Elephas maximus indicus: one gene and its partner. The protein of the gene in region 1 purifies or fractionates together with the protein of each later gene. This does not show direct contact. Links are inferred from orthologs where the notes say so. Each region holds a gene or a part of one and is shown in the gene's direction. Other genes may lie near its edges.

Region 1 (11,180 bases):
GAGAAATAACCTCAGCTCCTGGACGTCTGTAGTTTCTAAAAAAAAAAAAAAAGTTTCTAGTGGCTGGTAAACCGGGTTTTTTGACAGGTTTGGAGGGAAATAACACCAAGACTCACAAAGAGGGGAGCAGGGTCAATCCTTGCGTTAGACCGCCATCTAGTGGCACACTAGGATCCGCGGGCAGCTTTTATGTCCGATGTTCCAAGACCTCACCGAAAAATACATATACATGTGTAAACCAATATGAATATTAAAGCCAGTTCTTCAAGTGTCAAGGGAAGTAGATTTCACAGCCGTCTCGGCCTTGGGCAAAACTCTGAAGTGTGCTGTCGCTGGCATCCCAGCCACCCCTGCCCTGGCCACTTCCCTAATGTCCAGCCCAGGTCAAATGGACTACAGCCCTCCCCTTGGCTCCTGATGGGGAAAGCAGGGGGTGCTCCACCAGTGCTCCAAAAGGAAAGCCCAGTGGGCCTCCAAAACCGAAAAAAAAACATTGCCTTCAAGTCGATTCCAACTCATAGCAACCCTATAGGACTGAATAGAACTGCCTGGTGGATTCGAACTCCCGACCTTTTGGTTAGCAGCTGAGCTCTTAACCACTGTGCTGTCTCGAGGTGTGAGTTAAAGACATTCTCTCTTCAGTGCTCTCAGAGCTCCTGGTGGGGAAAGCTGAGGGGTGTCCCTCAGACCCACCAGTGCTCCCAAAGATGAGCAGCCTCCAGATGTGGGTTAAAGCCATTCTCCCTTCAATACTCTCAGAGCTCCTGATTCTCAAACCTGGGGGTCCCACTGAGCCCCCAGATCTGAGAGGAATAGAGGACCATGCTCCCAGAAGCAGCTCACACAGAGGACTGCCTGCCCTGTCCCAGGCCTGACCACCCCACAGACCAGCACCCTGCATGAGGCTGGGGCCAGTCCCCCAGGTACCAGGCATCCATCCACAGGCAGGGAAGGGGCCTCACTGATGAGGACTGGCCTCAGCACTGAGGAGCCAGAAAGTGATTCAGGGCCCAGACCTGTTATGGAGCCTTCTCCAGCTGATGGCTCCCAAGGGCCAGCTATTCAGAGGTGGAAACTCTGCACAGGGCTCCAGGCAGTGTGCAGTGGCCCTCAGGGCCCAGAGAGAACAGTTTCCCAGGACCACCTCCCTCCTAGGGCTGCAGGAGGCAGCAAAGAGTCCCAAGGCTCCCTTCATTAAACAAACCCGATGCTGTTGAGTCGATTCTGACTCATTGCGACCCTATAGGACAGAGCAGAACTGCCCCATAGGGTTTCCAAGGAGCAGCTGGTGGATTCGAACTGCTGACCTTCTGGTTAGCAGCTGAGCTCTTAACCACCACGCCACTAGGGCTTGCTTCATTAAACTGACAGTCCTCAGGTCTTGTGGGAACTCAATAAATATTTATCAGGTGATTGAAAGGGAAGAGTGGGTGTGGTCTGAGAAGTGCTCTCAGCACTTTGAAATTGTTAAGTTTGAGCAGGCAGGCACTTGCCACCACAAAGAACACTGAGAGGATCTTTCAGTGCTGGAACTTCCATTTCTCTGCTGCAATTCCGTATCCATTCACCCACTCCGAACCTCTTCTCCTCTAAGTTATTTGACCTATCACTAACAGCTATTTCTGAGGCCCGGCTCAAACATCTGCGTCATCTGTGGTTCTGTTCTGGCAATTGGTTGCTTCTCTTTATTACAGGTCATAGTCTTCTGTTTCTTTGTGTTATGTTATTTTTTAACGTAAGCTGGATGTTGTGTGTTAAAGAACAGTAGAGACTGGAGAAGAACAAAGGTATCTCCGCCTCCCAGGAAGGGCACACCTTTTCCTCCGCCGGGCAGTGATGCTGAGCAGCCGGTGGCGTCACTGAATCAGGGGTCAACCAGTCAGTTGCAGGTTTAAATAGTTTCTGGTCCCCTCTGGCTTCAGCTGTCTTGAAGGCTTTGGGATCCAAGCACAGAAAAGCAAGATCTCTTTGCCTCCACCCCTGTCCCCATTCCAGTTCAGAGTGATTTCCCATCAGCTTTCTCCCTCTCGCTTGCCCATATCTGGGGCCAGAATGGACTAACAGGTAAACACACAGATCTCACACCACTGGAGGCTTCCTCAAAGTCAAAGGCAGGTCAGAACAGGTGAGAGGAAGTGTGGGTGGGATTCATGTCCCCTACAGCCTGCAGACCCCTCAGGTGCCTGAGGAATGACCCCATACATACACTGAAGGAAATCACTTATGACCCCAAGAGCCTCATGTCACCCAAACACTCCACCCATGCAGGCCAAAGCCACGCTCACCTCGATGGGCCAGGTGAGTAGAGCCCCTCAGGGAACTGGACTCTATTATAATTGTATTTTACACATTTAGGACCAAGGTGGCCTCAAAGAGTGACTCCTGCAGGTCAGAAGACTGGGGAAATTTGGATTTCGGGGGCTGAAATACCAGATATACCAAGTGTTATGGTTCTGGCTTTTCAGAATCCAAACGGTTGTCTTAAACTGACATTTGCTGTTCCTGGGACTTGGAGATTAGGGTGCGGTGCTGCCTTTGGACCAGAAGGTCAATATGTGGGCCTCTGCCAACTTCAGGCCTTTGATTCCCATGGCCAGAAAATACACCACCCGGCAGAAAGGGCCAGTTTTTGGACTAGCCCCTGACTGCCTCTTCTCTGAGGGGATAGTCGCCCACAGCGCTATGGAACCCAAAGAATGATTGCTGGCGCCACCACGTCCAGGTGTTTGAACATCCACCCCTGAGACACCCAGCTTAGCTTGTCAAGCCAACACCGTTCCTGGACCAGGGTAAATATCAAGGGCAAAGCAAGAGCAAGGGAGCTTATAACCTTGAGTTTTGGGTACTGCTCCATCTTCGTGAAGATGCAGGCCAGGGTGGCTATCTTCTCTTAAAGTGTGCTGTCTGTGCCAGGCCGTTTTACCATGCACAGCACCTCAGAGTGCTCCAAGCCACTATGTCACATGGATAGTTAGCAGCAGAAACAGAACTGGAAGCTAAGCCGCCTATTCCAAGTCCAGTGCTGCTGCCGCACAGTGGGTGCTACCTCGGCTGATCTGTAGAGAACGCTGACTAGGGGCCCCAGACCCTGCTCCCACCATCAACATCCCATCCCATTCCACAGCAGGTCCTGTTGTCAACCTCGTTTTACATACAAGAACTTAATCACACAGGCACCAGACCTTCTTGTTGGAGAAAAGCAGCAAAGGCCTCTTCCCTTTCAAATGTTTATTTAAAACACACACACACACACACACACACACACATACACATATATATAATTATCCTTTATATATTTTTATATAAATATATTTTATATGTGCGGCATATATAATATAGTCGACATTTCTAATTTGGACGATTTCAGCTTTCACCAAAGACAAAGCTGTAAAAATGGCATGGAGCGGGGGTGGCATCTGACCTTCCCGAACTTCACAAGGGCTGGGGAGGAAATCAAGATCAACAGCCCCAGGCTGACTGCTATAAGGAAGAGGTCAGACATGTCTCTACCCTCCAACTTCTTTATCAATTCTGACACCAGCCGTCCCTCCCACGGCACTCTCTACTTCTCTGCTGGGTTTGATAATTTGTTGCAATGGCCACACAGAACTCACAGGTAATACTCACGACTGTGGGGCTATTTGGGAGGTAACAGGTGACAACTCAGGATCAGGAACACTCAGGACATAGTTCTCTGACCAGGACAGCCTCTTCTCAGCCATGCCCACAGACAGGCCTCTCTTTGGCCCTTGGCCCAGCCTCTGCCCTGCTCAGGCAGGTGTTAAGGAGCTCTTTAGATCCACCAGTAAGTACCGGGGTAATCCACTCTGCCAGGAAGCCTCCTGCCTGAAGGCACTCAGCTCTCTCCCTCAGCACAGCCACTGCAACTACCTTGCTCCATGGGCCAGGAAGCTCACTGTGCCATCTTGCACTGGTCTCCTGGTTCTGCTGCCACTGATTCTCGTCATCATGTGCCGTCTCTGGTGTTACAGCTCTTTCTGTCTCCTGGATCTAGGAGGTTCTCAGCACAAGGACTCTGGGTCCAAAGGACATGACCCATTCCTATCTCTTTTTCTTGGTGATAGTAAGGTCGCCCCTTTCTGCCTCTGGGATGGCTCATTTTAAGCCTAGTGGGATGGCAAAATTGACCAATACCCTCATTAGGGTTCCACACACCTTATGTGTATGGTCACACCCCCACAAGGGTGTCATGCACCTTACTTGCATTATTACCAAGCTATCCAATCCCCTAGGTGGGTCATCAACACCTTATTTGCCCAGTCCCACCCAGTCACTTGGTGGGAGTCCAAGACCAGGGCAAGAAAGGCCACATAAAAGTGGTCCATTGCATTGCAAAAGCCTTCCGTATTCTCACTGCAGGTTTGCTGGTATTTCTTCAGGATCATTACCTTTCTTTATACTTAAAGGACCAGCAGGAAATGCTACTAGAAATAATATTTTTCTCTGCTCCAAAAGCAGAGGAAAGGCTGCAGAAAGAATACTTTTCCACTGTATTATCACAGGCTATTGGATAAACTAAGGAGCCCTGGTGGAGCAGTGGTTAAGGGTTCAGCTACTGAACAAAAGGTCAGTGGTTCAAACCCACCAGCTGCTCTGTGGGAGGAAGATGTGGCAGTCTGCTTCCATAAAGTTCACAGCCTTGGAAACCCTATGGGGCAGTACTACTCTGTCCTATAGGGTCACTATGGGTTTGGTTTTGTTGTTTTTTTTTAGGGATGAGGCCAAGGGCTCTTCCCCCGTGATTGTAATGCAGTCATTTAATTAACCCACCTAACTAATTTGCACAAACTTCACTGACCTAATCCACTATGGGTGGATATCAGGTTGTTTCCAGGTTTCTGCTATTATAGATGACAATCACAAATACCCTTACAGGGTATATATGTACATAATTATTTCTGAAGACAATAGAGTGTTCTGTTTGCTTTTTAAAAAAAAACTTTACTAGCCAGGTGACCACAGCATAACTGCAGCTCCAGGACTGCCCATTCCGCCACCCCAACACACTAAGACCAAAAATCTAACAAAAACTGGCAGTCATCCAGTGCGGCCTCGGCTACTTGAGAAAGGGTCAACTGGGAGTTAAGAGTCCTATAAACCTAGGAAAGACGCTATCAAAAACAGAGGACCACCTTCTACTGGGAGCTACTCTTGAGGCTGTAACACTGAAATTGTTTCTATTTCCTGCTGTCTCACACTGCTATCTCAAAGTTCACACTTGTCCAACAACATTGAATGGATCCCCAAAAGGACTTCTTCAAACTCCCACAGACTCCTAACTATTCAAGGCATCTGCAAGTTCAGCAAATGTTTGTTTAAATGATGTTGCCAACTTGACAATAGCCTATATATCTGGATAAGCCATCTAACTGCCACTCCATTTCAGGGCCTGTCTTCAAGATCTAAATTGCACCAGTCACCAACCGAGGAAGTTTTGAAGGCAATGTTTCTCAAGTTGTGGTCTGTGGACATATTCTCAGGGTTCCCTGAGCATTTTTTCCCCCCGTAGGGTCGCTATGAGTCGGAATCGACTCAGTGGCAGCGGGTTTGGTTTTTTGGTTTTGGAAAAGGGGTTTATACAGCACTCAAGGTTGAAAACCACTGATTCAGAATGCCTCCACCCCAGCTACATGTAGGAGCCTGTCACTCTGCAGGTGGTGCGTCCTGAACAGCCTTGGTGGAAGGAAGAACAGTGCTCTGCTCTCCCGCACTGCACCCAGCCCAGACCCAGCACTTTGAAGAAATTAAGCCACAGTTCTGGACAGTACCAGGGCACTTCTGAGGGGTCAGTACCAGGATTTCCTGTCACACTTGGACCCTCTCCCAAAGGGTCTCACAAAAGCACTCAGAGAAAGGGCCACATAAACCAGACCCTATGTCAGCCTGAAACCAGAAGAACTAGATGGTGCCCAGCTACAACAGATTACTGCTCTGACAAGGAGCACAACAGAGAACCCCTGAGGGAGCAGGAGAGCAGTGGGACACAGACCCCAAATTCTTGTATAAAAGACCAGACTTAATGGTCTGACTGAGACTAGAAGGACCCTGGTGGTCACAGCCCCCAGACCTTCTCTTAGCCCAAGACAGAAACCATTCCCAAAGCCAACTCTTCAGGCAGGGATTGGACTGGACAACGGGATAGAAAATGATACTGGTGAAGAATGAGCTTCTTGGATCAAGTAGACATAAGACTACCTTGCCATCTCCTATCTGGAGGGGAGACAGGAGGGCAGAGTGGGTCAGAAACTGGCAGAATGGACAGGAAAAGACAGAATGGAGGGAAGGAGTGTGCTGTCTCATTACGGGGAGAACAATTAGGGGTAGACAGCAAGCTGTGTATACACTTTTGTATGACAGACTGACTTGATTTGTAAACTTGCACTTAAAGCACAATAAAAATTAAAAAAAAAAAAACTGAGAGAAAAAAAAGCTCTAGAGACCATCGAGTCCGACTCCATTCACAGGACAGATAGGAAAAGTGAGGCCCAGAGACGGGGAGTACCTTAAGCGAGATGATACAGCTAGTTAGCAGCAGAGACAGAACTAGAGGCTAAGCTGCTTATTTCAGGTCAGCGTCCCTAGCCCCCAGTGGCTGCCACCTGGCTGGTCTACAGAGAGCACTGACTGCGGGCCCCGTAGACGCCATTCCCATCATCAACACCCCCGTCCCATGTCTGCCCTCTCCGGGTCCCCAGTCTCCCTCTTATCCTCTCGCCCGGCTCTGCCTCAGACCTCAGCAGGCATTCCACAACCCTACTAATCCTGGCTGCCCCGGCCTACGTGCACCACGACCTGAAAAGGCTACAAGAACCGGAGCTGCTACTACGTTTCCCGGCCGCCGAAGCGGCGCCGAGGCGCATGCGCCACCCTACGTCGGCGTGCGTCAGTGACGTCACGAGAGGCGCCATCTCCGATCCCCGAGTGCGTCTGACTCTTGCTGCAGGTGGGAGCGTGTCAGTCTCTCGGTGACGCGTCCCGCGCAGCCCCGGCAGAAGGATCCTGTCCGCCGCAAACTTTGACGAGAGAGGCTTTGGGTGCCGACCGCTGCTGAAGAAAGTGGAGAGAGGAGTGAGCGGCGCCTGAGGGAGACGTCATCACAGCGCACCGGAAGAGATTCGAGAATGAAGAGTAAGCGGGGCTCGGGGCCACGAAATCGGAGAAGGGTGGGAATATAAAGGGTCGGGGACTTGGTGCTGGTAGGGAACATGGTTCTGGGCTACCTGTCGCTGCAGAGTCCGAACGGAGCTGCTACGGAAATTGTCCCACCTTACTTAGGAGAAACCGAGTCCCGGAGTGCGGGCTTGATGTCTGAGCTGGAGGCAGGTTCTCCAGGCGGGCTGCTCGTTGGTGTGTCATGCTGGTGGAGGCTCCAAAGCTTTGGTCAGACTTGGCCACCCCTCCTCTGGGTGACAGTAATCAACTACTTCCTCCTCTCTGTGGCCTGGTTTCGCCTTCGGTAAGGTACTGATGTTGATACCTGCCCAGCCTGCCGTGAACGATCCTTGTCAGGTGTAAAGCGCTGGGATCCTGCTGGGGAAGTATGTCACTAACCTAAGGCGTTGGGAATCCAGCAGAGGAGAGATGAGCGAAGGAGGAAAGAAGCACCCAAGGCGATTATAGGCAAATGAGTGTAGACACTGCTGAGGCTGGGCTTCGGGTCAGGATTTTGAGGTCCACCTCTCCCACTCCTACCTGTGTGATCAAGTTAAACCTGAACGTCAATTTTCTCATGGGCATAACATGCATAATAACTGCTTTAAAGGGTAGTTTGAAAATTAATGAAATAAAACTTGTAGCTTCTAATCAGGTGCTGGCAAGTAATGAGTGCTCAGTTACACTTTGTTGTGTATGATTGCAGAAAAGACTTTCAAGTCTCCTGCTAAACACTTGTGACAGGTAAAGCAAAGCTGATGATTCCTGGGGTCCCAGGCTCTACAAACAGGTTATAATCCCCATCTCCCATATGAGGGAGAACTAGACCCCGTATATAAAACCTGTAACCACCTTGGCCTGACCGTTCAAACATGAACCCAGGGAAGCACAAGGGAACAGGGATAGAATTTATAGAGTGTAGTGCAAACCAAGATGTCTAGTCATTTGGCCCTTAAGCCAAGCCTGTGTCTTGCTCTTACTCCATTCGCATCCATATTCTGCCTCCAATGCCACAGTTTTCTACTGAGACAAATGAGGTAAGAAACAGGAGCGTGGACATATTTAGAGGTTGAAACCACATTAATCAACATACACTTTGAGTTTAAAGAATGACTGTGTCATCAGTTCTAGGACACCATCAATTATATGACACATTGCAACTTCCTAGATGTTAAAATGTGAAAAACATTTTTTTTTAATCTTACAATCACCAAAAGATAGTACAGTCAGTTCTAATTATTCGAGGTAGTTATGTTCAATAAGGAAACCCTGGTGGCATAGTGGTTAAGACATATGGTTGCTAACCGAAAGGTCAGCAGTTTGAATCCACCAGGCGCTCCTTGGAAACTCTATGGGGCAATTCTACTCTGTCCTCTAGGGTCACTATGAATCAGAATCAACTCAACAGCAATGAGTTTTTTTTTTCTTTTAAATGTTCAATAAAGTCACCTCAAACCCTCAGTTAGGGAATGCTGAATCGTAGTTCCCAGGGGAGCTACGAGGCTAGGTTCCCGTAATCCTGTGGTCACATTTTGTCGGCTGATCAGTACCTAACTTTGTTTTATGTATGTTTCATTAACATTGAACTCATGGCCGGCAGCACGATAACTGTAATTCATGAACTATAACTCCCTGCGTGTCTGACACACGTATTTTCTCCATGGGGGACATCACACCCTCCTCGCACTTGGGAACACCTGACTGAACTTCAGCACTACACTTGGGGGCCAACAAAAACCACACGAATGTGAAACATGTGCCACTAAATAGATCATGAAAAGGATGCAGTATGAGAGCTAAAACAAGGAGGCAGAGTGTCGCTTTGTTCAACCACAGCTGGAGATGTGAGCCTCAGATGACTGAGATTTTTCGCTGCTCTTCACGTGTCCACAAATGACTGCAAAAGCACCACGAGTATTAATTTTGGGTTTACAAATAAATTTTAGCAAGTAGGTGAATTCACAAATACGGAATCCGTGAGTAACGAGGATTGACTGTGTTTCCACCCATCTGTGTCCTGGACAGCAATTTCCCGTGACTTAAATGAGTTACTTCAGTAGGCATATTGAGCAACTGCTCAAGCTTCTAACCTATGGTATTTTAAACCATGCCTCTCATAAAGCGTGGTCCCCTGACCTGCCGTAGCGTCTGGAAGCTTGTTAGAAATACAGGCTCTGGAGGAGGCGGAGCCAAGATGGCCTAATAGACAGACGCTTCCGTGGAGCCCTCTTTACAACAGAGACCCGAAAAAACAAGGGAAATGAGTATATTTGTCACAAGCTGGGAGCCCTGAGAATCAAAGGCAAGCTTAGACAACGAACCGAGGGGCAGGGGAAGGAAGAGACCATTCAGAAGCGGAGAGGAGTTCCGGGCCCTGAATCGCAGGGAGCCCTCAGGCACCATTCCTGGAGCAGCGGCGGCGGTAGGCTGGTCCTAGCATTCGGCCGTAGTTTCCATAGGGAGAAGCAGCCAGCTACACAGCCCCCTCACACCTCCTGAACCTGAGCAGAAGGGCGCTCTCGGCAAAAGCTAAGTACTTGCGTATATTTTACCATGCCCCCCGCGCCCCCAGGCCAGCTTCAGCAGCTGAATCCCTGGGCCTCAGATAGACCCTGGTGAACACCTGGAGCCGTCCTCCTGGCCTTGGGGAAGGAAAAAATTTCCAACTGGGGGGAAAAGAAAATTTGTTAGCTCCATTAATGGGGGGAGCTCAGGACAGAAGTGGCTCCTGCCCAGGCATAAACTGTGGACCTTGAGCACCTTTCTCTTCTGCATGGACCTGTGTGGGCCTATTTCGGGAAAATAGGCCCTTGTTGGCAAACTCCAACCATTTCATCGGTGCACTGGAGAGGTGGGTGTTTGACATTTGACATTGCTTTGGCTATTGAACAAGGTCCTCATCTACCCACAACAGGGACCTAAGGACTGCTGGCTCCACTTGGGTCACCCAGCCACCCACGACAGGGGCCCAGGGATAACTGGTACCTCCCAGTCCTTACAACAAAATCTTTGGGTGCCCGTGGTCCCTCTGCAGAGCCCACCCACCAGCACGCTCTAGGGAGCAGAGATGCGTATTCCTTAGAGACACTTGGGGGTCGGCTCTCAGCCCCTGCCTTGTTCAGAGCGTGACCTCCTGCTGCAATCAGATGCAGATATATACGCCAATCACCCCTGCCCCTCTAAGACTGTAGGACAGAGCCTGTACCACACACTTGATATCACCTACCTGGAAACCTGAGCTGAATTCATACAAGAAAACTGAATGGACTCCTAGACTGATATACCTGATAACAGCTCTAGCCAGCTGGGGACAGGACACCAGAGCTCCAAAGGCGAAAATAATCAAGCTAGCTCACTCAAGCAACCCATAGGGGTATACCAAAACAAAACAAAGCAAGCAGCTACGACACAGTAAGCAAGCATAAAGTAATACAATAACTTATAGATGGCTCGGAGACAACAGTCAATATCAAGTCACATAAAGAAACAGGCCAGGATCACCTCAACAGGCTTTCAAAAAATCCAACGATCTTTTAGATGAAAGGGCATTTCTGAAATTACCAGATGCAGAATACAAAAGTTTAATATACAGAACCCTTCAAGACATCAGGAAGGAAATGAGGCAATACACAGAACAAGCCAAGGAACACGCAGATAAAGCAATTGAAGAAATGAGAAAGATTATTCAGGAACATAATGAAAAGTTTAATAAGCTGGAAAAATCCATAGACAGACAGCAATCAGAAATTCAGAAGATTAACAATAAAATTACAGAATTAGATAACTCAGTAGAAAGTCAGAGGAGAAGAAATGAGCAAGTAGAAGATAGAATTTCTGAACTCGAAGATAAGTCACTTGGCACTAACGTATCTGAAGAAAAATCACATAAAAGAATTTTAAAAAATGAAGAACCCCTAAGAATCATGTGGGACTCTATCAAGAGAAATAACCTAAGAGTCATTGGAGTACCAGAACAGGAAGGGATAACAGAAAATACAGAGAAAATT
Region 2 (11,747 bases), on another chromosome or scaffold:
GACTGAGCCCCTGACTGCAGCCTGCATTCCGCACACACACCCGCTCCCATCTGCAAAATCTGATGTGGCCACCACTTCTCAGGGTTCCTGCCCCAAATGCAGTCGGAGCACCAGCATCCCTGAAGAAGCTAGACTCCTCTCCCTGGTCCCTACAGTTCCGCAGATCTTCAGGGGCCTGAGGAAATCTCCAAGATGTTCTTCACAAATGGAAAATCATATGGAACAAAAAAAGAAAACTTAGCCATAAAAATCTACCAAGAAGTCTTCAAGTTCTTGTCATGGGAAAGCTTACACAAAGCAGCCACCTTGGGCCACAATCCCTGAGGATACTTTCTTTCCAACATCCTTTACGGACTGATAACCTGATGTATTTGTTGCTTCAGTGCTCCCCTGCCTGTCAGTGACTGTTCTAGAAGCATTAGTGCGTGTTCATTGAGCCCCTACTGTTTATGTCTGATTTCAGCTTTACACAGAGACTCATAATGAACGCAGCCCGTCAGCTGCAGGACCAGGGGGAAATGGCCATGCTCAGAGCTGCTGGAGCAGTGGAGACCACAGGTGGTTGATGTGTTCGACACCCACGCATCCAGTGTGTCACCAGTGCAGCTGGAGCAGTCACGCAGTATGAAGCACACTGGATGGGGGAGTTTCCTGGAATAATTTATCATTTTTCAAAATAGGACTAATAAAGCAATAAGGTTCTAGACATCTATCTAAAAATCAAATTGGGGTTCTACACACAAGTAGCTCATGGGCCTCTTTTCTATTTTGTTGTGCTACTGAAAGCCCTTGGATATAAAATACTAGCTTGTTTATGAATTCTGTGAATTCTGTGAACAGTAACGTGATTGAAAATAAGTCCCAACAGCTGTAGAAGTGACCACAATGACATGGAATAAATTTGCTCAGTCTAGATCAGCTACAAGCAGATGGTTTCTATATGGAAGCTCCTCATTGAGTGCAGCGGTGGCAGATTTGCTCTTAATGTTAAAATGTGTTTTTTAAAGTAAGGCTAGATCTCCAGGCAGTGGAAGTCTTGGCTTGGATGATTTATGAGTTTCCTTTTAAGAAATCACATTTGCAGTTTTTATTCAGTTGAAAATGCATACAAAAGCAAAGGTCAGCCACTCCTCAAGTCCACCTTGCAGCCAAAGATTAGACAGGTCTCTGAAACAGAGTAACACGTCAGGAACATGCTTCAGAGAACGATCAGGTGTACGAGGTCAAATGGGCAACTCCTGGCCAAAGGCAAAGATGAGAAAACAGGAAGGGGCAGGAAAATCAGAAAAATGGAAATGGGGACTTCAGGGTGGAGAGGGGAAGAGTGCTGACACATTGTGGGGATTGCAGCCAAGGTCGAAACAACTTGTGTATAAATTACTGAATGGGAAACTAATTTGCTCTGTAAACTTTCACCTAAAAGCACAATAAAATGTTAAAAAAAAAAAAAACACAAAACAAAGGGCAAGAGTCACCCAACTGTTCCTTATGACCATCTTCTGCTGCATTTAGTTACCGTTTCTGCCCTAACAGCCCCAGGAGCTTAATTCCTTCAAATCCTGTTACAGAGAGGCTACAGCCAAGTAGTTCTGGAAACAGAGCGAGAAGAACTTTATCATTTAAAAAGGAATTCTGGGCTTAATCTGAATATTTTAATTTATAAGAGTGGAACACAGATCTTAAAAAACAAAAAGATGAAAACATATCAGAGTTGCAAGATACAGCTAAAGCAGTGCTCAGAGGGAAATTTATAGCCTAAATACATAGACTAGAAAAGAAGAAAGGCTCAAAGTCGATCTTTTAAGTTTCCATCTCAAGAAGTAGGAAATCAAACCTAAAGGAAATAGAAGGATATAATATAGGTAAGTGCAGAAATCAATGAAAGAGAAAAGAAAGTCAATACCAGGCTTGTTTCACCCTTCTATATTCACAGGAAGTCTGAGGTGAGTGAGGTTCTGGTAGAGGTGGTCCATCTTGGTGGGTATGAGTGGTGAGAGATGGTCTCCTCAGGACCACTGAAAGAGCTGCAGACTAGTATAAGTACTGCAAACCAGAAACCCTGCTATGGGGAAAGTTATTATGTTCTGGGTTGGATAACAGCCAAGGAGCACATCAGGAGGCCTTCCCTTGCCCCCACAGAGGGACCATTCAGGCAGGGTGTGTGCTGTCCACCCAGCTGTGGAAGTCAGTGGGCAGATCTGCAGCAGGATATAGCTCCCATCTCCTCTGCTATTACCAGAAAACACTGACTGGAGTTATGAGCAGAGAATATGGAAGAGTCATCTTGGGGTAAGCCTTAAAGTGGGTTTTCAAGGTTCTCCCTTGGCTCTGCAGTTCCAGCTCCACTGTGAGAGGAAGACTGGAAAGCAGAAAAGGACAGCTCCCCCTTGCTCCCCATTTCCTGCCTTTGTGATTATGACCAGCTTGCTGGTTACTGCCAGCTAGCTGCCCCCTGCCAACACACACACCCCACTGGGCCCTATGGTGTGTGCCTTTAATGATAGTCTTAGGCTTCATCCCTCCCTGAAAGACTTCCAGGAGATTCCCAAATAACAATGCAAAGCCCCAGGAATCACGACTGGGTTCTTGATCTCATTGCCTGGAGTTGGGCCTCCTAGGAGGGTGGACTCACCTGGACAGGTATTGAAGAGGCCAAGGGACAAGCAGTGGTCAGAACTCAATTTGCCATCAGTCTGGACTTGTTGTCCAAGACAGAGGTGACACCAGGAATGACAGCTGCCCTGTTCAGCAGTGCTGCCTGGGCTGTAAGTCTATGCTTTCCACTTGAGCCCCGGTGAGTATTTCCCATCCCAGGGAACCTTACATGTTGGTTGCCTGGTGCAAGTTCCCAGAAAATTCTGGGATTGGAATGCATGTCAGGCCAGGATGGAGAACTGAATCACACAACTGTGTGCCAGGTGCTATTCTGTGTTTTCCATGCATCACCTCACCAAGCTGTCTCCCAGCCCTAGGAGGTAAGGCCAACCCTGTGCCCATTTTACAGCCATGGAAACCAAGGCATGGAGAGGTGAAGTATCTTGCCCAAGATCACACAGCTGACAAGTAGAGGGAAGCTTCTCTCTTTATAATTGACATACAAAAACAGTACTTTCACCAGTTCAGGTAGGCACCCTCCTGCCCATCTTACCCGTTGAGCCTGAAGCACTGTCAGCAGGACAGACAGCCCTCCAGGATCACCTGGCTCAGGCTGGTGTGCAGCAGCTTTAGCCTAACATCACCAAGGCCATGCCTCTTGGCTTGGGCTCCTGCTGGGGAAGGCAATCCAGTCATTCATTCTGCAAATAATTAAGGACATCCCATGCCCAGGCAGGAAACAGCTCACCTGGATTCCAGCATCATCCTAAGGGTGCACCAGGGGACAGCCTGCCTTCCTCTTTCCAGCCTCTCATCAATCAGGACTGGTGTGGCTTGTTCCCCTCACTGATACCCCTACACACACACACCCACACCCACACCCACACCCCCCCCCCCCCGCACACACACACCCCATGCTCTGGAAATTACAATCCGCACTGTTTGTCCAAAGCAGTTTCCCTGGGGAGAAGTCTCAGCTGGGTCTCATTGCCCGTCAGGAGGCCAAGTGTGAAAAGCACGCTTGGAGACACGTGGCCTTTGAAGAGAAAGGTCAACAGCCTGGACTCTTACCAGCCAAGTGCATACCCACTGCCTTTAGGCAAATTTGGGGGTTTAATTAAACATAAATGCCAGACTTAGGCCCCCTTATATACTTCCCAAGCCCTAAATACCGATCTCAAGATAATCATGGACTGGTTAGTTAATAACATCTTTCTAAAATGATGAATGCAGATTTTAACATCCACAGTGAAGTGTGTTCTGCTTTGGGGGACCTCCTTGTATTAGGCTGAGAAGCCTTTTATTAAAAGTGGCAACTCAGTGGGTCTGTTTCAGAAATGGGCTTGCTGAAAGACGCTTTGGTCAGATTTGGGAGTTTTGTTTTTTCTTCCATTCTCTTGGTCTCTTTCCATTTTTGTTTGTCTCTGTTTTGTCTGTCTCTCATGCCACACTCAGGCACCCTACCCCCTAACAACGGGAACGCTGGCTCTACCAACGCATCATCTTTTATCTCTTCCAGTGCCACTCCTGTGACCACACAGCCTGGATTTTCCCATCAGCCTCCCCTCCAACCCAGATTGGATGCTGCTCTCAAAACCTCTCAATTCCCTTCAGTGAGGCAGATACAAAAGTTTGGTTTTTTTCGGGGTGGGGGGTGAGAATATAGCCACAAATGGGGCAGTGGAGATGTCATAAACTACCTGCCAGAGTCAAACCCAAAGGGGAGAGTTCTGGGGCTCCTGTTTTGGTATACCTAGCTGCCCCAGAGGTCTGGGGCCTGGAGTCGCCATTCTCCAGACTGGAAACACCCAGAATGTGGATCTGGGGTGTCCGTGCCAGCAATAGGACAAGGTTTTTGCCTAGTCAGGGAAAAGAGCATGGCTGACTGACTGCTCAGCTCTCCTTTCAGGAACAGGACGGTTCTCTTCCCTTGGCTCCTAAAGGGAAATTTCCTTAATTGGTTTCTGAATCTTTGGCCTCTAAACCCTGCAAGCAATGAATGGGAACCATAGTCCACACCTAGGAGGCCTCTGAGCTCCCGCAGGGAGTGGGATGAGAAGGAAGTATTCTTAGGGGCAGAAAGTGGCACCTAGGTGATAGTCTCAATGACCCCGAGGTCAAGGCTGGCTGGGGGGTGGGTAACTGTCGCTGAGAACAACTGGAGAGACAACTGCCAAATGTTAACTTTGAATAGAGGTCCCAAAACCCTCAGGACCAGATGTGACTCAGAATTCAGAAATCTTCCAGTTTTAGGAAGGTATTATGGTATGTGTACCATATATTATGTAACACCCCCAGTGGGGTCTGGGGCAGCCTTACATGATCAAATGCATTCATTTTTCTGCTGTGCAATGTATGACTATCCACAGTAAGTAGGACAAACACTATAAAAAGTCTCCCTCAGTTCAGGTTGAGTACTGACGTCAAATGAAGACAGCTTTGGCTTCCAGGCTTTTTTGGATTTCAGACTTGCAGATAAGAGGTGATAAGCCTGTGTTCACAGTTGCCTCCCTCATTCTGCGTCCTGATGAAGAGTGCTTCTTGCCAGTGGAAGGAAGGGCATGCAGAGGGGTGGCCCAGAGTGCCCTCTTGTGACAGTAAGGGGCAGGTCCTTATTTTTATTTCACATTATTTTATTAAAATGATGCCCTCAGACAGAGTAGCAGGGGCGGGGGTCTGGGGACCATGGTTTCGGGGGACTTCTAGGTCAACTGGCATAACAAAGTTCATTAAGAAAATATTCTGCATCCCACTTGGCGTCCGGGGTCTTAAAAGTTAGCTAGCAGCCATCTAAGATGCATCAACTGGTCCCAATCCACCTGGAGCAAAGGAAAATGAAGAACACCAAAGACATAAGGAAAATATGAGCCCAAGAAAGAGAAGGGCCACATAAACCAGAGACTCCATCAACCTGAGACCAAAAGAACTAGATGGTGCCTGGCTACCACCAATGACCGCCCTGACAGGGTACACAACAGAGAGTCCCTGACAGAGCAGGAGAAAAGTGGGGTGCAGAACTCAAATTCACGTAAAAAGACCGAACTTAATGGTCTGATTGAGACTGGAGGGACCCTGGAAGACATGGTCCCCAGACTCTGTTAGCCCAGAACTGAAACCATTCCTGAAGCCAACTCTTCTGACAAAGATTATACTGCACTATAAGACATAAAATGATACTCATGAGGAGAGTGCTTCTTAGCTCAAGTAGATACAGGAGACTAAATGGGCAGCTCCTGTCCAGAGATGAGATAAGAAGGCAGAGGGGGTTGAATGGACATGGGAAATGCGGGGTGGAAAGGAAGAGTGTGCTGTCACATTATAGGGAGAGCAACTAGGCTCACGTAAGAATGTCTGTATAAATCTTTGTAATAGAAACTAACTTGAAACCTGTAAACTTTCACTGAAAGGACAGTGAAAAAAAAAAGATGGCTTTACCTTAAATCAGTGCCTGGTGGCGCAGTGGCTACGAATTTGGCTACTAATCCAACCCCCGGTCCTTGGAAACTCTATTGGACTAGTTCTACTTTGTCATATAGGGTCGCTATAACTCGGAATCGACTCGATGGATACGGGTTTTCTAGGGACTCTAACTCAAAGGACAGCCTGCTTTTCAGAGTTTCATATTTGGAGATGCAGCTCAGGGTTGCCTCAAACGAGCAGCTCCCAGCTAGAGGGATGGAATAGAGCGTTTGCGCTCACTGCTTTCCCCGCGATGGGCACCAGGGGGCGCTGAGCTCGGCCGTCCCAACGCCTCATGAGAACTTATGCCGGGGTCCTTAGGGTGACGTCACGATGACGTCACATCCGTGCCGGGACGTCTCGCATCCGGGGGAAGGGACAGAGGAAAGCAAATGTAAACACGCCCGGAGTTTCCTCGGCCCCGGCTCTGTGTTCTGCGTGGGCACCCCGAGCTGTGGCAGATTTTCGCAGCGAACAGGAAGCGTCCGGGGAGGCGCCAGGCGAGGCCAGGCAGACGGAGAGCGGGTGGGCGGAAGCCCCGAGGGCCAGCGGCCAAACCACGGGAGCGGCTCAGTCGGCCGCGCTGCTGACGCCTGGTCGCGCGCGCCAGGTGCGCACGCGCTGGGCGGGAGCCACGGGCCGGGCTGGTGGGCGGTGCGGGGCCGCCGCAGGTCCCGACTTGTCCCCTTCGGCGGACACCGCGGGGAGGTGGCCGGGAGGATCGAGCAGGAGCGCGTGTGCAGAGCACGCTGCCTGCACCTGGCACGAGGTCGGCGCTAAATCAGTGCGTTAGTCGAAAAAAGTACGGGATCGGGTGGTTAGTTTTTTTTTTCTTAATAGCTGGTTTATCCAAAAACTGTGTGTTGAACGCTTTTTGTTGTGTACGACGCACGGTTTTAGGTTCTTGGGAGACAGGAGTGAACAAGACAGGAAGCTCTTTATCTTTTCTGGAGCGTAGTTTTTGGGGCAGGGAAGGGGAGTACAAATAAAGAGGAGGTGAATTACACGATTGTGTTAGATGGCGGTAAGTACCGTGAGGAAAGAAGAATAGAGCAAGGACAGGGACAGGGGGTGCTCGCGGTATTAGGATGGCCACTCGGTCAAATTGAGGAGTGAGGTTTGAGCAAACCTGTGAAGGAGACGAGGGCATGAGCCATGTGACACCTGGAAGGAGAGCATTTCCGGCCCAGGGAAGAGCTAGAGCCGAAACCTAGAGGAGCTGGAGACCGGTGTGGCGGGAGGGAGCGAGCAAGGGGGAGAACGACAGAAAGTGAGGTCCGAGCCGGGGGAGCAGCGTGCAGTTCAGGTGGGGCCTTGTTGGTCTCTGTAAGGAGTGTGGCCTTATTTATTCAGAGTGAAGCGGCAACCAGTGCAAGGTTTTGAGCAGAGGAATGAGTGGTGTGAGTAAGTTTTGTTAGAATCGTTTCTGGCTGCTGTAGGGAATAGATTGGGGAGAACAGGAGTGAGGCGAGGCCACGTATTAGGAATAGATAAGTTCAAGAGCATCCCTGCGGTCATTAAAAAGGCTGACTTCTAAAGATGGGGATGGCAGTCACTATAGGAGCGCTTACTTTTCCTGGTTAGTGTGGTGGATATGCCAGGCTCTATGGCGCACTTCCCAGGCATTGTCTCATTTAATCTCAGGACAGTCCTCAGAGGGCCGTGCTGTCACTGAGCCTGAGGACCAAGGCTTATGGAGAAGTGACTGCTCAGTGAACGTTTACTCTTTAAGTTCTACCTATGCTTATCCCTGCCACCGGCATCCATCTCCATCAGCACAGTCATTAACGCTTTAACAATACAAGAAAAAAAAATTTTTTTTTTTCTGTTATGTGCCAAGCAATGAATGAGACAGGTGAGGTTCTTTTTTCCCTGCTCATCTAGTCAGGGGAGGCTGTAGTGACTGGGAAAGCAAAGCACTAGGCAACTATTGCTGTTGTCCTGAAACCAAAGACTTAACCTGAACGCATAGGCCTACCACTACCACCATTCACTGGTTTAGTCAGTTGACAGGTGTTTGTTAAATACTGCTTCTGTGCTAGGCATCGTGAATATTAGTGTTTGTGGAATAGATGGGTGGATGTAGCGCTTTGATCCTGACTTTTCATTTTTCTCTGGAGCTCATTATCAGGGCGCGGTTGCACCTGGGCCTGACCTGGAGGGGTTTTTGTGCCTGCTACTCCATAGTGGGGAAACCTTGGTGGCGTATCGGTTAAGTGCTACTGCTGCTAACCAAAGGGTCGGCAGTTCAAATCTGCCAGGCGCTCCTTGGAGACTCTGTGGGGCAGTTCTACTCTGTCCTATAGGGTCGCTGTAAATCGGAATTGACTCGACGGCACTGGGTTTGGTTTGGTTTTGGTTTAGTCCATAGTGGTGTGACCAAGGAGAAGGCACTTGGTTGACCTCAGTTTCCTGGTCTACAAAGTAGCAGTGTCAGGCTGGATGATCACTAAGGGTGCTTCTAGTCTTTGCTGTTTGATATGGTCCGGTTTTATTAATTTGGAGTAAAGGCCTAGAACAGGTCTTGGGAAGAACCAGGGTACTGTCCATTTCTTTCACTCAAACCAAAAAAAAAAAAAAAAATCTGTTCTCATAGCGACTCTATAGGACAGAGTAGAACTGCCACATATGGCTTCCAAGGAGCGCCTGGTGGGTTCGAACTGCCCGCCTTTTGGTTAGCAGCTGTAGCTGTTAACCACTACACCACCAGGGGTTCCTTGCATCGCTCAGCAAACGTTTACTGAGGATCTGGTGGTGCTGGTGAAACATCAGTGAAGAAGAGAAGGCCTCCCTGAAGAGGTGACACGTAAGTCAAAACCAAAAGGATTAGTAAGAGCTGTCCAGGTGGAGAGTGAGGTGGGAGTAGAGCCAAGAAGAGGAATTCTCTCCAGGTGAACCAGCATGTCTAAGTCCTTGAAGATTCCAGATTCATTAGAAATGGCATTGAGTTCCCATTCCAGGAATCCCTTCTCAAACCCCTTTCACTGGCCTGCCAAATAGTCCTGCACAGACTGGCCTGGGACAAGCAGACTAAAAAAACAGGCAGACCGAGGATGGGCAGGGACAGCAGAACTGCCACCCCTCATTCTCCTCTTCATGTTCTGTGTTGGCTGGGAGTAACAAGAGGGCCTTAAGAGCCCTGGTTTTACTTGCTTGGGCTTTTTACTTTGATTAAGAGACATCATATCAGAGTGATCCTGAGGGGACTCAGGAATGGTTGGAACCTCGGCGCCCTTGGGCAAGTGTTACCTAAGCCTTAGTTTTCTTTTCTCGAAATGAGGGTTATAATAGCATTTACCTTGTAGGATCATTTTGAAGAGAAATGAGGTAAGCATTTAGCACAGAGCTGAGTGCTCAGTAAAAAAAAAAAAAAAAAACAGGAAGGGTGTTATTAGGGTTTAAGAGTATGGTGGTCTGGCTTGTGTGAAATATGGAGACTTCGTTAATGTCTGTATGTATAACCTTAATTTGACCAGAATTAGAAGAGCTACTGTACTAGGAGGTGTTTTAAAAACATAGGTCAAGTTCTTGTTAAAATCAAAAACCCATTGCCATCAAGTTGATTCTAACTCATTGTGACCCTATAGGACAGAGTAGAACTGTCCCGTAGGGTTTCCAAGGAGCGGCTGGTGAATTCAAACAGCAGACCTTTTGGTTAGCTGCTGAGCTCTTAACCATTGCACCACCAGTGCTCCAAATTCTCATTAAAAATGTGAAAATAGCTCATACCTTGATAATTTCTAGTCCTTTTGACTCTTACTGTAGGTGTGATCAGCAATGGAAAGGATACCAGCATCACCTGCCACATATGAAAGAATAGTTTACAAAAATCCCTCTGAGCACCACTACATGAAAGTCCGCCTGTAAGTTCAGTCCCCCAAGTTCTGTTTTAGATTGCTTTGTTGAGTCTGAAGATCGTGAAATCTAATCGTATGTATTTTTTTCTTTTTTTTTTTCCACAGAGAATTTCAGGAACATGGGATTGGACTGAATGCTGCACAGTTCAAACAGTTGCTTATTTTGGCTTTGAAGGACCTGTTCGGGGAGGTATGGAATGACTTTGTAGATTGACCATTCCTAAGGTCTTTGTGCGTAGTGGCTAAGTGCTACGGCTGCTAACCAAAAGGTCAGCAGTTTGAATCCACCAGGCGCTCCTTGGGAACTCTATGGGGTAGTTCTACTCTGTTCTCTAGGGTCGCTGAGTCGGAATCGACTCAATGGCAGTGGGTTTTAAGGTCTTTGTAAGAAATACAGAAAGAACTCTTCAAAACTTTATTTAAAAACAGTATTTGGAATACAGAAGCCGACTTTCAGAAAGGGTGCGTTTTTGGTAGACTTGTTCTAATATGCTTTCTATTTAGACAGGAGCTTGTTAGGCAAGTGCTCATTCCAGCACAGTGCTACTCAAAGTGTCATCCAGACTAGCAAGGCACAAACCGTTCTCTTCCCCTCATGAGGGGCTTGCACCGCTTCCTTTTGAAAGAAAGTCATCTTAGGAAAAGGCTGGACTAAGCAGGGTGCTTGCTTCGTGATGTTGTTGGTTGACATTCTGGTACAAGATCCTTGTCATAGACAAGCACTTTGAGGAGTATCGTTCTAGCATTCCCTTGAAAACAGAAGTGGAGTTTTAGAAGTCTAGACAGAGAACGATGAAGAATTCTCTGGAAATTCACACATTTCGTCAGATATGCTGAGCACCTCATCAAAATTTTTACTCTGCGAAAGATTGTTAAACAGATGAAAAGTTGAATTACAGACTGGGAGAAAATATTTGCAGGTCACACATTTGACAGATGACTAATATGTAGAATATAGGAGGAACCCTTAAAACCCAACAATGAAAAACCAAACAGTCAATTAGAAAATGGGCAAAAGACACGAACAGACGTTTCACCAAAGAGGATATATAGACGGCAAGTAAATACATGAGGTGTTCACCATCACCAGCCACTAGAGAAGTGCAGACTGCAGCAGTGAGCTGTCACTGTGCATTTGCCAGAATGGCTGAGCTGAAAGTAGTGAGAGCAGCATGTCTTGGGAGCCTGTGGAGGCACGGGGTCCTCACATGTTGCTGCTGGCCCAGTCGCCCTGGGACACAGTTTGGCAGTTTCTGTTATTAAAAAAAAGCTAAACATGCGACTACCTTACAACCCAGCAATTATACTCTTGGGTATTTAACCCAGAGAAGTGAAAACTTAGGTTCACAAAAAACCTGTATACAAACGTTCGTAGCAGCTTTACTTATAGTAGCCAAAACCTGGAATCACCCCACATGTCCTTCAGTGGGTAATGGTTGAGCAAACTGGTACATCCATACCTTGGAATATTCACTTACCAGTGAAAGGAGTGAACTGTTGATACACACAACAGCCTGCGCGAATCTCCAGGGAATTATGCTGAGTGAGAAAAGCCAGTGCCAAAAGATGAAACACTGCACGATGCTGTTTATGTAACAGTCTTGAAATAGCATGATTTTTAGAATCTGCAGAATAGGTCAGTGGTAGCCAGGGCTGAGGGATGGGAGAAGGGGTGGGCGTGACTATAAAGGGGTAGGATGAGGGAGCCGTGTGACGGTACTGCGCTTTATCTTGATTGTGGTAGTAGTTAACATGAAACTGCGTATGTGATAAAACTGCAGCAAACTACACAGACACACCTAAACATTAGTACATGTATAACTGATAGGATCTGAG

The links.
Region 2: the proteins of POP4 (region 1) and RPP14 purify together in Homo sapiens (affinity purification with mass spectrometry; 3 studies listed by BioGRID and IntAct, counting the BioPlex papers as one, with this or other methods). This does not show direct contact. The link is inferred for Elephas maximus indicus from reciprocal best matches to the Homo sapiens genes POP4 and RPP14.

Annotation. Positions count from the first base shown.
Region 1 is NC_064839.1:11,352,123-11,363,302, forward strand, and holds the start of POP4 (ribonuclease P protein subunit p29), read left to right. Parts: upstream 1-6,915; 5' UTR 6,916-7,142; coding exon 7,143-7,149; intron 7,150-11,180. UniProt on the Homo sapiens protein: Component of ribonuclease P, a ribonucleoprotein complex that generates mature tRNA molecules by cleaving their 5'-ends.
Region 2 is NC_064838.1:62,909,872-62,921,618, forward strand, and holds the start of RPP14 (ribonuclease P protein subunit p14), read left to right. Parts: upstream 1-6,429; 5' UTR 6,430-6,664; intron 6,665-6,670; exon of another isoform or gene 6,671-6,856; intron 6,857-6,862; exon of another isoform or gene 6,863-8,860; intron 8,861-9,819; 5' UTR 9,820-9,831; coding exon 9,832-9,917; intron 9,918-10,016; coding exon 10,017-10,101; intron 10,102-11,747. Other genes in the region: monoacylglycerol lipase ABHD6, read left to right, coding at 1-6. UniProt on the Homo sapiens protein: Component of ribonuclease P, a ribonucleoprotein complex that generates mature tRNA molecules by cleaving their 5'-ends.